3 linked regions of the Astyanax mexicanus genome follow. The main gene of each other region encodes a partner of the protein of the gene in region 2 in a complex. Links are inferred from orthologs where the notes say so. Each region holds a gene or a part of one and is shown on either strand. Other genes may lie near its edges.

Region 1 (3,756 bases), on a different chromosome or scaffold from region 2:
TCATCCACGTTACTCTGATTGATTTTAAGAATCTGTTCAAGCAAATGAAACAAAAAAAGGTTAAATTAAAAGGTATGATTTAATACAATGGCCCAAAATGAAGTAAAAAACATCTGACTGAGATGCTATACTATGGTAAACAAGATCAGAAATTTTTTTTGAACCTTCAAAGTTGTGCACGATTGCAGGGCCTTGGCCAGGAACTGACAATCACTGAAGGTGAACTCGAATAGATTCCATTCAAAGTTCATGCCACACCCTCTCACTCCATAAACCAACTGCAGTTCCTCCAGGTTGGTAAGCTTGTTCAGCAGGATTCTAAAGTCAAAGTGGTCTATTGATGGCCCATCATCGCCCAAATCGCTGGCAGATTCTGAGGCATCATCTTCATTGAACTTTGGTGGTTTTCTGATAGGTGGCAGAAGCTGAGTTATCTTTAGCCTCCTAACATAATTCTGACAGAGTGGCACAACATCCAGCACTGATTTGGGCTCAGTTTGGTCGGGAATGAAAAGTTCAATAATGTTCTCCAGATGACGCTCAAAGAACATGCGTTTCCAGCTGAGGTCATACTCAGAAACATCCCTCTGGCCCCAGCGGTCCTCACAGCAGCGTCTCCAGTAACCCTCATCACTGATCAGATTGGCTGTTAGGCTCAAAGGCAGGAAGGTAGGAAGCTTCTCCAGGACAAAAGCCTTCTGACTAGGCAGGAGCTCATTCAGAATAGGCTTCTCTGAAACATTTTAGAGCACAAATCAACAAATGCTGTAAAACACTGTGAAACATAGTATATACTATATACTAGTCAAAGTACCTGATTAATTATATTATTACTTAAAATCTATCATTAAAAAGTGTGTGAATAATGTCTTAATAGTAGTAGAAAAAGAAGATTACCTTCAAAATGATTCACTATGTGCTGTAGACATAAGTTTTTTAAGGAAGGCACAACAGCAAGAGACCATTCTGGGTCTTCAGCAATAATTCTTCGCATCTTTCGAGGATCTGCAGCAGGATTGAGCATCTTTACTGGTGGGTTAATGCCAGCTGGAGCTTTGCCCATGGACATACTTATGACTGGCATTTCTTTGTTGTCACAATACACAAGGGCTGAAGTCAAGTCTTTAGATGAGTCCTCTCTTCTTGAAAAAGTAGAAAATAATGAGACAAATTTACTCTGGAGATCCCTTTACTTTCCAACAGGCCACTGGAGCACAGATGTATACTGCTGTTTAACCCAGAGAATTCCTTATTTAAAAATCTGCATAACAAAATTTAAAATAATAGAATGGGATTAAGATGTGAACAGTCGGATTGGATTCAGACTTGAATTGGTTGAAAATGTTTGGTTTTAGAAAAACTTTCACAGTCAGAATTGTTCACAGCAGTGGTAAATAAAAGAGTTTAATGCATCTAAAACTTCCTCAGAGAAAGTGGTAACGACAAATGCTTTAAGAAGATTTTGGAGAAAATCCATTCATGGTGGAGGGGTACATGAAAATTGTTATAAAGCACAACTGGCCTCAATAACAGACATTTTAAGATTAAATACGGTTTACCATAATCTTTACCATTACAGTAATTTGTTTTTATTTTTTATATAGTCATGGGGGATGCCTGATTCTTATCATGACACGTGTAATGTAATCAGAGTTGTTGAGTTCCTACAATGAATCATTTCATGCCAAATCCCTCTCAGAATGACTGTTAACATCTCAACCATTTAATTATTCTCTCACACATGGTTGGACAAGTCTTATTTTAAACCCAATTTCCACCAATCTGGGAAACTGAGAAAACTCCTGAGAAACAGCCCTTGAATTTTTTCACTTTGATCTAAATACAGTCTGAAGGACTTTCTGACTCATCACACCCCAGTCTTATCAAAACGACATACATATACAAAATGTGTAAGATCTTTTTTTTTCTTAGCTATATAAATCTCTTCTTTATCTCAGACATATGTTAGTTTTCTATCAACTGTGCATTTCACAGTTTGTCATGAATGATCTTACAGGGAAACACTTTAAAAGAACATTTTAAAAAGTCCTGTAGTAAATTGTAAGTAAATTTCAGTCAATTGTCAGCCATAGACCAAAAATATAACTGCTATATATATAGACCACAATACACAATAGTCACATTATCGACTTAATGGATGTGATCCCAATAATTTTAGCAGTCCTTAATACTGCCCATAACGTTGATCTTAGCAAGAAGAGCCTATTAAAGTGTGTGAGCTGGTATTTGTTTAAACAAAGGTTTTATAGCTAACTTAAATTATTTAAAGTTCCCTGCTCTTTTTAAAGTCTGTTATTATGCTATTATATAATCATTAACTACATCGGTGGTATAAAAGGCACAGAAATGATTCAGCCCTACTGAATCTAGTTACCTAGTTAGGTTAGCTGGGTAAGATAACCTAGGTTAACGTTATTGCTACACAGCAGACTAGAAGGCAAAATGACAGTAAATTGAAGTGAACGTAATGAGTAAACAGAGTACAATACTGTGGAGAATAATGTGTTTAATGTGGGTATTGCTGTGGATATTCCTAAAACAGACACGCTGAAGAAAATCTACTTATTTACCTTCCGTTCTCCAGAGTTCACCGCCAACACAAGAGTCTCCAGTCGTTATGGCGACAAGGAAGCGCTGTGATTGGCTAGTAGTCACAGAGTAGGGGGGACTTAAAAGGACATGTGTACTTTCTTTCTTTAATTTATTTTCTACATTGTAGATTAATGTTAAAGACATGAAAACAATTAAGACAAACATATGGAGTTACGTAGTAAAGAAAAAAAGTACATTTTACAGCTCTGGAAAAAAATAAGAGATCAATTCATTTTCTGTATCAGTTTCTCTGATTTTGCTATTTATAGGTATATGTTTGAGTAAAATTGAACATTGTTGTTTTATTCTATAAACTACGTAAAACATTTTTCCTAAATATCAAATAAAAACATTGTAATTTAGAGCATTTATTTGCAGAACATGAGAAATGGCTGAAATCAGAAATCAATATTTGGTAGAATAACCCTGGTTTTTAATCAGAGTTTTCATGCATCTTGACATTACTTTTGAATAACTTTGTCATTCCTGGTGCAAAAATTCAAGCACTAGTTTTTAAGTGGTTTCTTACATATATATGGACTGTGAACTAAACTTTTTTCCAAACCAGAACACTACAATCTCAAACTACCCCATCAGCCCACCTATATGCAGATATTTACATAAACCTGCAAAGTATCTTTTCTGCATTTTCCATTTTCTATACAAATTCTACTTTATTTATTAATGGACTTTTTAAAATAGTTCAATTGGGGTTTCCCCATCCTGTCTCAGTAAACTTTTAGAATTAAACTGTCTGAACTGTCATATTTGTTTTGAACAAATGAACCTGCTGACTGGGATTGGCTAATTAATGGCCATGCACTGCTGGTACTGTGGACCAATGCACATACATTAAACATTAAAATATTTGAATAGGATTCTATTAATAGCTCTTTTAGCAGCCCACACACAGAGCGTCCCACCAGGAATTGTCCCGGTACTCCCTATGGCCAGTACATCCCTCATCTCAAACCATATACATGAAGAGCAAGTTTTTATTCCAGTTATTCCATTATTTATTTTATCAATATATCATATTCTCATTGTTTAAGTTCCATTAACCCTAAAACAGAACACACTGACCATACATAACATGCTAAACTGTTATTAATCAACACAGTTTTGTTAAGAGCAGGATTTATA
Region 2 (3,756 bases):
TTTCTGAGATGCACTAGTATATACTACGGCATATGGCTATAGAACAAAATGCACTTTTAAGCAGCATGTTAACATGCTTACAGGCAAACTTAAGCAAAAATGCAGCTTCCTATATCAAAACAACATGTGTTTCCCAATTAGCATAAGAAGATTAATAAAGCAACACTGTTGTTTATTCTGGATTGTTTTAGATTTTGTGAATCACTCTGCTTTAAGGTTTTTTATTGGTGACCTAGATTTTATACAGCAAGCATCACTGTGTAAAAAGGTTGAGTGATCTTCTCTTTCATTAGGAAACACATAAAATTCTGTCAGAATCTTACTTTCAGCTATATATTACTTATTATTAGACTACTAAAGAAAAGCAACACTCATTAGGTGTGTTGTTAACTTGACCACCAGATGTGAGGCCATGTTTTCATCATGCTTGAAATCTGGACTTCCTATGGTTTTCTCAAGACCACAACATGCTAAGAGCATGCTAAAGCCACTGTTTGCTATCTTAACACACATGTTGACCTTTAGTAACCCCATACTCAATACACAGCCTATTGATTTTTGTTTGGGTGGTCTTCCTGAGTGTGTTTTCCCCCTCAGCACAGCGTGTATGAGACATTACATCTTCATGTTTGCAGTCAGTGATTGTGTAATGCAAACAGTCGGGGTGGCATAACCATGATACCGGCTCACTTTAACACAAGCACAGAGTTTACCAAGCGCCAACGAACTATAGTAACCTCACAGTTGGGCTGCTGAGGGGGCTATCTGCACTTTGGCCAGCGTCTCCTCCAGTTCCCGTAACTCGCTCAGACCTCCATCCTCTCCTCCCTCCTCCTCCTCCTGCTCTGCCTCCTCCTCCTGGAGCTCAGCTTCTTCCAGCTCAGGCTCGACCTCCGGCAGCATCTCCATCTACAAGGAGTGAAAACAAGGCACATGCTGCAGTCCAGGGGACCTGCCATCCCACCGATTCATGTTTTCAGGCTTTCATGTTTTCTAACACACCTGCTTTAGCTCTTGAACATAACTGGCAGATGGCAAGCATGAAAAACATTAGATAAGAGCAAAACTGTGCAAATACAGCAAGACCAAACTGTGTGAAAAACATACCTTTTGAAGAATATACGGTGCTGTGAAATAGTATTTGCCCCCTACAGATTTAGTTTAGCTTTCAGATTAACAAACACATTTTAATATAAAACAAATATAACATATATAAATATAAAAAGCAAAAATCTATCCAAACCAACTTGGCCCTATGTGAAAAAGTATTTGCCTCCAAATCTAATAACTTGGCTGTGCCACCCTTGGCATCAACTGCAATCAAGCATTTGCGATAAATGAATCTTTTTCACCCACTGTTCTTTGCAGAATTATTTTAATTCAGCCATACTGGAAGGTATTTGAGCATAAACAGCCTGTTTAAAATCAAGCCACATCACTTTTTTTTAAGCCATTCAGATGTAGACTGATATGCCTTGGATAATTGTCCTGCTGCACAACCCAAGTACGCCTACGCTTAAGGTCACAAACTGATGGCCAGGCATTCTCCTTTAGAGTTTTTGGTAGAGAGCATCATGGTTCATGGATTCATGGTTCCATCAATTATAGCAATTGTCCAGCTCCTGAAGAAGCAAAGCAATGTTCTTTGTGTTCTTGTTGGTCAGCAGTGGTTTTTGCCTTAGAACTCTTTCATGGACGTCCGTTTCACCCAGTCTCTTTCTTTTTATTGAATTATTAACATTGACCTTATCTGAGGCAAGTGTGATAGATGTCAATGACTTTACTTTGAATTTCTTTTTGATAATGTGTTGCTGCTATATACAGTACTAGTCAAAAGTTTGAACACACCTCTTCTCATTACACTTTTTTCTTTCTTTTTATATATATTTTTTTACATTGTAAAATTAATAAGATCACAGGATTTCATTTTCCAGGGGGTTTCATTGGCTGTAAGCCATAATCATCAACAACAAAAGAAAAAAACTCCTAAAATAGATCACTCTGTGTGTAATGCATCTTTATGATATATGTCACATTTTTAACTGAATTACTGAAATAATGTAATTTTTCAATAATATTATATTTTTTCAGATGTACCTGTATGTATGTATCTTATATGTATCTTATATTGTTTTTAACCAGAGCTCTGCTCTTGGAAAGATAGATTTTACTGTTTTGATAATTTAAATAAATACAAGTGCCCTGGTAAAAATCAGTACTTATACAGCTCTGGAAAAAAATAAAAGACCACCAGTTTCTTTGATTTTACCACATTGAAAACCTAAGAAATATACTCAAGAGGAAGATGGATGATCACAAACCATCAAACCAAGCTGAACTGCTTGATTTTTGTATCCAAACAGTTCAGCAAATAAATGGTCTAAATGACAATATTTTTATTTGGAATTTGGGAGAAATGTTGTCTGTAGTTTATAGAATAAAACAACAATGTTCATTTTACTCAAACATAAACCTATGCAAAATCAGAGAAACTGATTCAGAAACTGAAGTGGTCTCTTATTTTTTTTCCAGAGCTGTAACGTTATTTGTTAAATGTGAGTGAGACCCAAAAAAAACAGAATATCACAGCTAAATATATTTAGATTACAGACAGTTAGAAAACGTGCACACACTAACCCTTGTTTTACAATCTTCACTACATAGTAAAGCTGTATATAATACAGACTATTCTGGTTTACTATATGAGATATTTACGTTAGTATGAACCGCTTACCTTTTACTCCTCAGTAACGCTGGAACTGTTTATACTCGGTTTCCATAAGCGACAAAATCCCCGCCCATGGCCCTTCACCACCTAAACCAATCCGCGAGCCGCATTCTCCCAAAGCCCGCCCCTCCGGCGCTCACTCCTGTGCTTGGATTGGCTCGTGGATACTCACGAGCTCACGTACGTTAGATTTTAAAACATATTTAACCAATATTATTTTTTAAAATCACATATTTCACGTTTACTGTGCAAACATTTTGGCACATGTGAAAATAATTACAACTAAAATCTAAAACGATATATGAGAATAAATACTAAATGTTAACTCAAAAATATTTATGCTTAATAAAATATTTTCAAATCTCTCCTTATTAGGAGTCTGGTATTATTTATGGTTATCATGTAACACGTGTTTTAGTAATCAAAAAATGATATGTCGTATAATGAGTCCAAAATGAATGAAGCAACTGAGCAGGGTTTATAATTGTCTAATTATTTTCATACCCAAAATATACTAATTTCCACAACACAGAAAAATATACTAATTTCCACAACACAGAAAAATATAACATGTTTCAGCACCGAAGACAAACCTTTTAAACAATCAAATGATTATTAGTCATGTAGTAGTGTATCAGTTTACTCCTTAAGAATTTTCTCAATGCTAATGTAATCCATGACTGACTGGCCACACACACACACACACACACACATACAAAGGATGTATCAGGAGCGGGAACCGTGTCAGACAATAACAGAATAAAGATTGCTGTTTAATTTTGTGTGTGTAAAAATAGATTATAAGAGACACTCTTCTCGTATGGAGGTGACATCATGTTAAAATAAAACAATGTGTGGCCACGACTTAGTAAGGCATGGGAATGAGATCCTAAGGCGTGGCCACGGCTTATAATAATTAAGTCGAATAATAAAGCTTGCTGTTCTGTAAATAAATGCCCATGAAGAAACTGAATATTACATCAAAGCTCCAATCCAAGGATAATCTTTTGTAAGAAAACGGAGAGTGG
Region 3 (3,756 bases), on a different chromosome or scaffold from region 2:
CTTCTGGGTTAAAGGTTAAGTGTTAAATTCATATTTATTTCGCTTTGTAACTTCAATTGTGGAAAAAGTAGCAAAATGGATGAAAAACCTGAAAAAACAAAATTAAACTTGGTACATCTCTAGTGAATAGTGCAAAGTTTTAAACAAAGTGCTTGACTGTCCCTCACCTCTTTATCCCTGTCCTTTACCGCTGCAGCAGCTTCCTTCTCCAGAGTGGCAAGCACCTTTTGGTTGCTGTTGTGACGCAGAGTGTCTTCCTGCATGCGCTGAATGCGTACCCTCTCCTCCATAGGTGTCATAAATAGCCGCTTTAGTAGGACAACTCTATTGTCCTGTAACCATTCTAACATCTCCTCTACACCTTTTCTATCTTCTTCAATAGATCCTGCCCCTTTTAGCCCCACCTTTGCAGTAGGACAGGCCCTCAGCAGCCGTGAAATGTTCAGTAATGAATCTTGCACTGCTTTAGCAGCTGCTTCCTGTCCTTTGGCTCCAGGGTCCAGGCTCAGGTCCTGGTATGCTTTTGACAGATGCAGGTCCTCAGTGAGGGCCCTGGTCATTTCTGCTCTGAGGCTTACAGAGAGGCTCTCAGGGTGGGTTAATTCAGAGGGCAGCAGGGCCACCAGCTCCATCAAACTGATGCACTCATCCACAACTCCCAAAATGCGCTGTTTTTCCAAAGACACCAGTTTCTTCCTAGATAAGTTTAAAAGTTTTTGTGTTTTTTTATGGGGGGTGACGGAAGAGGGGGTCTCGGTTTGGCGTTCATTAACACAGAGTGCTTCATCTGTCTCTGATGCCATGGACACGAGCAGTTCTAAGAAAAGGATGACATGTCAACAACATTAAAGAAAATGCTTTAACTGTTAGAGAGATAAAATCAGGTGAAAAAAGAAGGGGACCCCATCTAAACATCTGTCTTTTACATCATATTTCAACATATGGACATCTGATCTTCATTTTGCCATACAGAGAGATGGAGGTAATAAAGTTGTGTTAAATTACATATTGTTGCTGTTCAGTGAAAAACATATATCTCCAAAAAAGCAATTTACAATTAAATTACAATTTACAAATGCAATAAACTAAAAATAGACAAAAATGGAGATACTTTGGACAGCCTTACAGTTATGTAGTTTTTACACAGATGTTCTCAAATTGCACCCAATCACCCAATTGGACTCAATCAGAAGTGTCAATCACAATAATTCATAGTAGATCCTATGATTAAGAGCCTGAGATGCCCTGCTGCAGCAAAGCAGCCCCAAACCATGTTTATTTGATGAATTATCAGTGGTTCTGTCATTATTACAAATATTGCGTTATTAAGTTTAAGCCTAAAGTGAAGGGAAGTTTAGAGAAAGATTATAAAACTGAATGTCTTTTTTCTTATGTTTATACAGATTAAACAGCCTGGGGTTTAGCTAACCTGTTAAATAACACTGGGGTGTATAGGGCTGTAACCTTTAGTCAGTATAATCAACAATGTCGATGATTTAATTTTGTCCACTACAAATTTGATTGTCGACTTTTCCCGCATTACACAAACTGCCGGGGACAAAAGCGAGTAGGGTAAATGGCTCACTCACACTGTTTACACTCAACGTGTGTCTCCAAAAGTGCCTAAACACAACAGATTACATATTTAATCACGAAATATCAGAACTTTCCACGTTTAAACAACATATAAACAGTTATATGGCATTTAAATCTTATGTTCAGCTTTTTCTATTGTTTTTAGAGATGGAGAACATGGCAGAAATAATCGCTGACTAATCGTAAAAATTATCATCAGTCAACTACCAAAATAATTATTAGTTGCAGCACCTAGAAAATATGAACAGAACATTGAAAATACAATATTATATTATTATTATTATTATTATTATTATTATTATTATTTGTCTTCATCAGTTTAGGAAAAGACAATAAATATGAATCACAAGGTCAGACACTTTTTCAGAGACTTTAAACACTGAATGGGGTCAGATGACACCACAGTTATAGGAGGGTCAATAATCATGCCTGTACAGCCATTCAACCTAGTTAGCTGAGCAGCCTGTACACAGTTAGGCTGTGGGCTGAAACCAGATGAGAGAGGTCAGGTCAAAGGTGGGAAAACGCTTCAGTCTGTACTCACTGTTGCCGAGCGGTTCCAAAACTCTCTAAAACACTAACTACGCGGTGGCTTGGTTTTTCCCATCAACGTAACGCTGTAATTATAGATCTGCGGCAGTTGAAGTCAGTAAAACTCAGGTAAACTGCTTGTAGACTGGCTCCGCTGCAGTGCTGTGTGTATACACTGGTCGCTATGGCTGGTTGCCATGACAGTTTTAAACACATAGGCTCTTCTGAGTTCATACAGCTCTACAGATATACACACTGCTCTATATAATAATACACAATTATATCAATAAACACTGGATTCAGTCATACACGAACTTTGCATTCTTACTTAAAGAAAAAAGGAGTTATTTTTACCACGGTAAAGTTAGTTTCATTTTTGATATTCGACTTTTCGGCTCTAATAACTTCTGAACGGAGGATGGTAGCCAGCAGATACTTAACGTTACATAATCAGGACAGTACGACCACAGAGAGTGACGCACACCCTTCCTTTTACTGTTTGGGTGAAATTTGCGCAACGCCCTTTTAGCGTTAATACCGAAAAACTAAGCGCACTTTTCCTGTCAGAATAAAATGCATGTACTTCTAGACCACCTCTACATCTGTACACACTCATTTATTTACCTCCAAATCACTTCAGTGCATAAAAATGCCTATTAATGTTCCCACATAAGAATAGATGGCTTTAAGAAAAAAAAAAACACCAATAACGTTAGCTCCATATCCTTAGGGTTCATAAACATCAGAATAACGGGGATGTATACTTTGAGTCATGAGGAAACTTGCACACCCATTAATATTATGCGAAATGCTCAAATTTTTTATTATATTTTATATATTCACAAATTCAATAGCATTTCAGCAACTGTGTCACAGCTAGGTGGCAGCAGACACGCACACCATTTATATTTTGGATACAGTGCCAATTCTAGTGAATATTACATTTTATATATTTAAAAAATCAATAGAATTTAAACCGAATTACACAGAACACTAAAAATAAGTGTGTATGATACAGCTAGGTGTCAGGAAACACACACACACAACCTTCTTAATTTGAAGGTTCAAAACCTTCAAATTAACGTTAATTCAACGTTTTTACTGTTTTTAATGGGATTTTATTGTTAACCGATTCTTATTAGGCAGTATTACATAAATGTTGTTTTATGGTTGTTTTTTCATAATCGACGGTAAAAGAAAAAAGAAAAAACGTTTTTTTTTATGTTCTTTGCCATCAGGGTTGCATGTGTAAAACACGACACGGTAAGAAAAAAAATTGGTTTTACTTACTAGTAATACTATGCTACTACTTTAAGAATATAATTCTTTTTTATTTTTGTTAGTTTTTTTATTTATTCATTTTGTTTGTTCTACTTTACATTTTAAATTACCGGAAAATACCTATGCCATTTATATAAAACAACAAACAAGAAATTCCGAGAAAACATATTGTTAAACGGGACTTTTATTGTGAAAAATATGCCTCAAGTTTGGTCGTCAATGGACTACAAGTGTCGTAAAATGGTTGTCTGTTATTTACGTTTTTGTAAAGTCTGGTGTTTTCCTGTGTCAGTTGTTTGAGAGTGAAGATGGTCACAGTTAGCGGATTAAATCGTAAAAAGCTGGTGT

What was found.
Region 1: ccdc135 (region 2) and tcte1 share a complex: the UniProt entries of both Homo sapiens proteins name them as parts of the nexin-dynein regulatory complex. The link is inferred for Astyanax mexicanus from reciprocal best matches to the Homo sapiens genes DRC7 and DRC5.
Region 3: ccdc135 (region 2) and iqcd share a complex: the UniProt entries of both Homo sapiens proteins name them as parts of the nexin-dynein regulatory complex. The link is inferred for Astyanax mexicanus from reciprocal best matches to the Homo sapiens genes DRC7 and DRC10.

What each region holds. Positions count from the first base shown.
Region 1 is NC_064408.1:85,886,523-85,890,278, forward strand, and holds the start of tcte1 (dynein regulatory complex subunit 5), read right to left. Parts: upstream 2,656-3,756; 5' UTR 2,592-2,655; intron 1,143-2,591; 5' UTR 1,085-1,142; coding exon 898-1,084; intron 734-897; coding exon 165-733; intron 33-164; coding exon 1-32. UniProt on the Homo sapiens protein: Component of the nexin-dynein regulatory complex (N-DRC) a key regulator of ciliary/flagellar motility which maintains the alignment and integrity of the distal axoneme and regulates microtubule sliding in motile axonemes.
Region 2 is NC_064417.1:7,192,778-7,196,533, forward strand, and holds the start of ccdc135 (dynein regulatory complex subunit 7), read right to left. Parts: upstream 2,842-3,756; 5' UTR 2,735-2,841; intron 910-2,734; coding exon 743-909; intron 1-742. UniProt on the Homo sapiens protein: Component of the nexin-dynein regulatory complex (N-DRC) a key regulator of ciliary/flagellar motility which maintains the alignment and integrity of the distal axoneme and regulates microtubule sliding in motile axonemes.
Region 3 is NC_064408.1:34,843,674-34,847,429, forward strand, and holds the start of iqcd (dynein regulatory complex protein 10), read right to left. Parts: upstream 2,826-3,756; 5' UTR 2,482-2,825; intron 2,321-2,481; exon of another isoform or gene 2,141-2,320; intron 1,651-2,140; exon of another isoform or gene 1,590-1,650; intron 818-1,589; 5' UTR 804-817; coding exon 168-803; intron 1-167. UniProt on the Homo sapiens protein: Component of the nexin-dynein regulatory complex (N-DRC), a key regulator of ciliary/flagellar motility which maintains the alignment and integrity of the distal axoneme and regulates microtubule sliding in motile axonemes.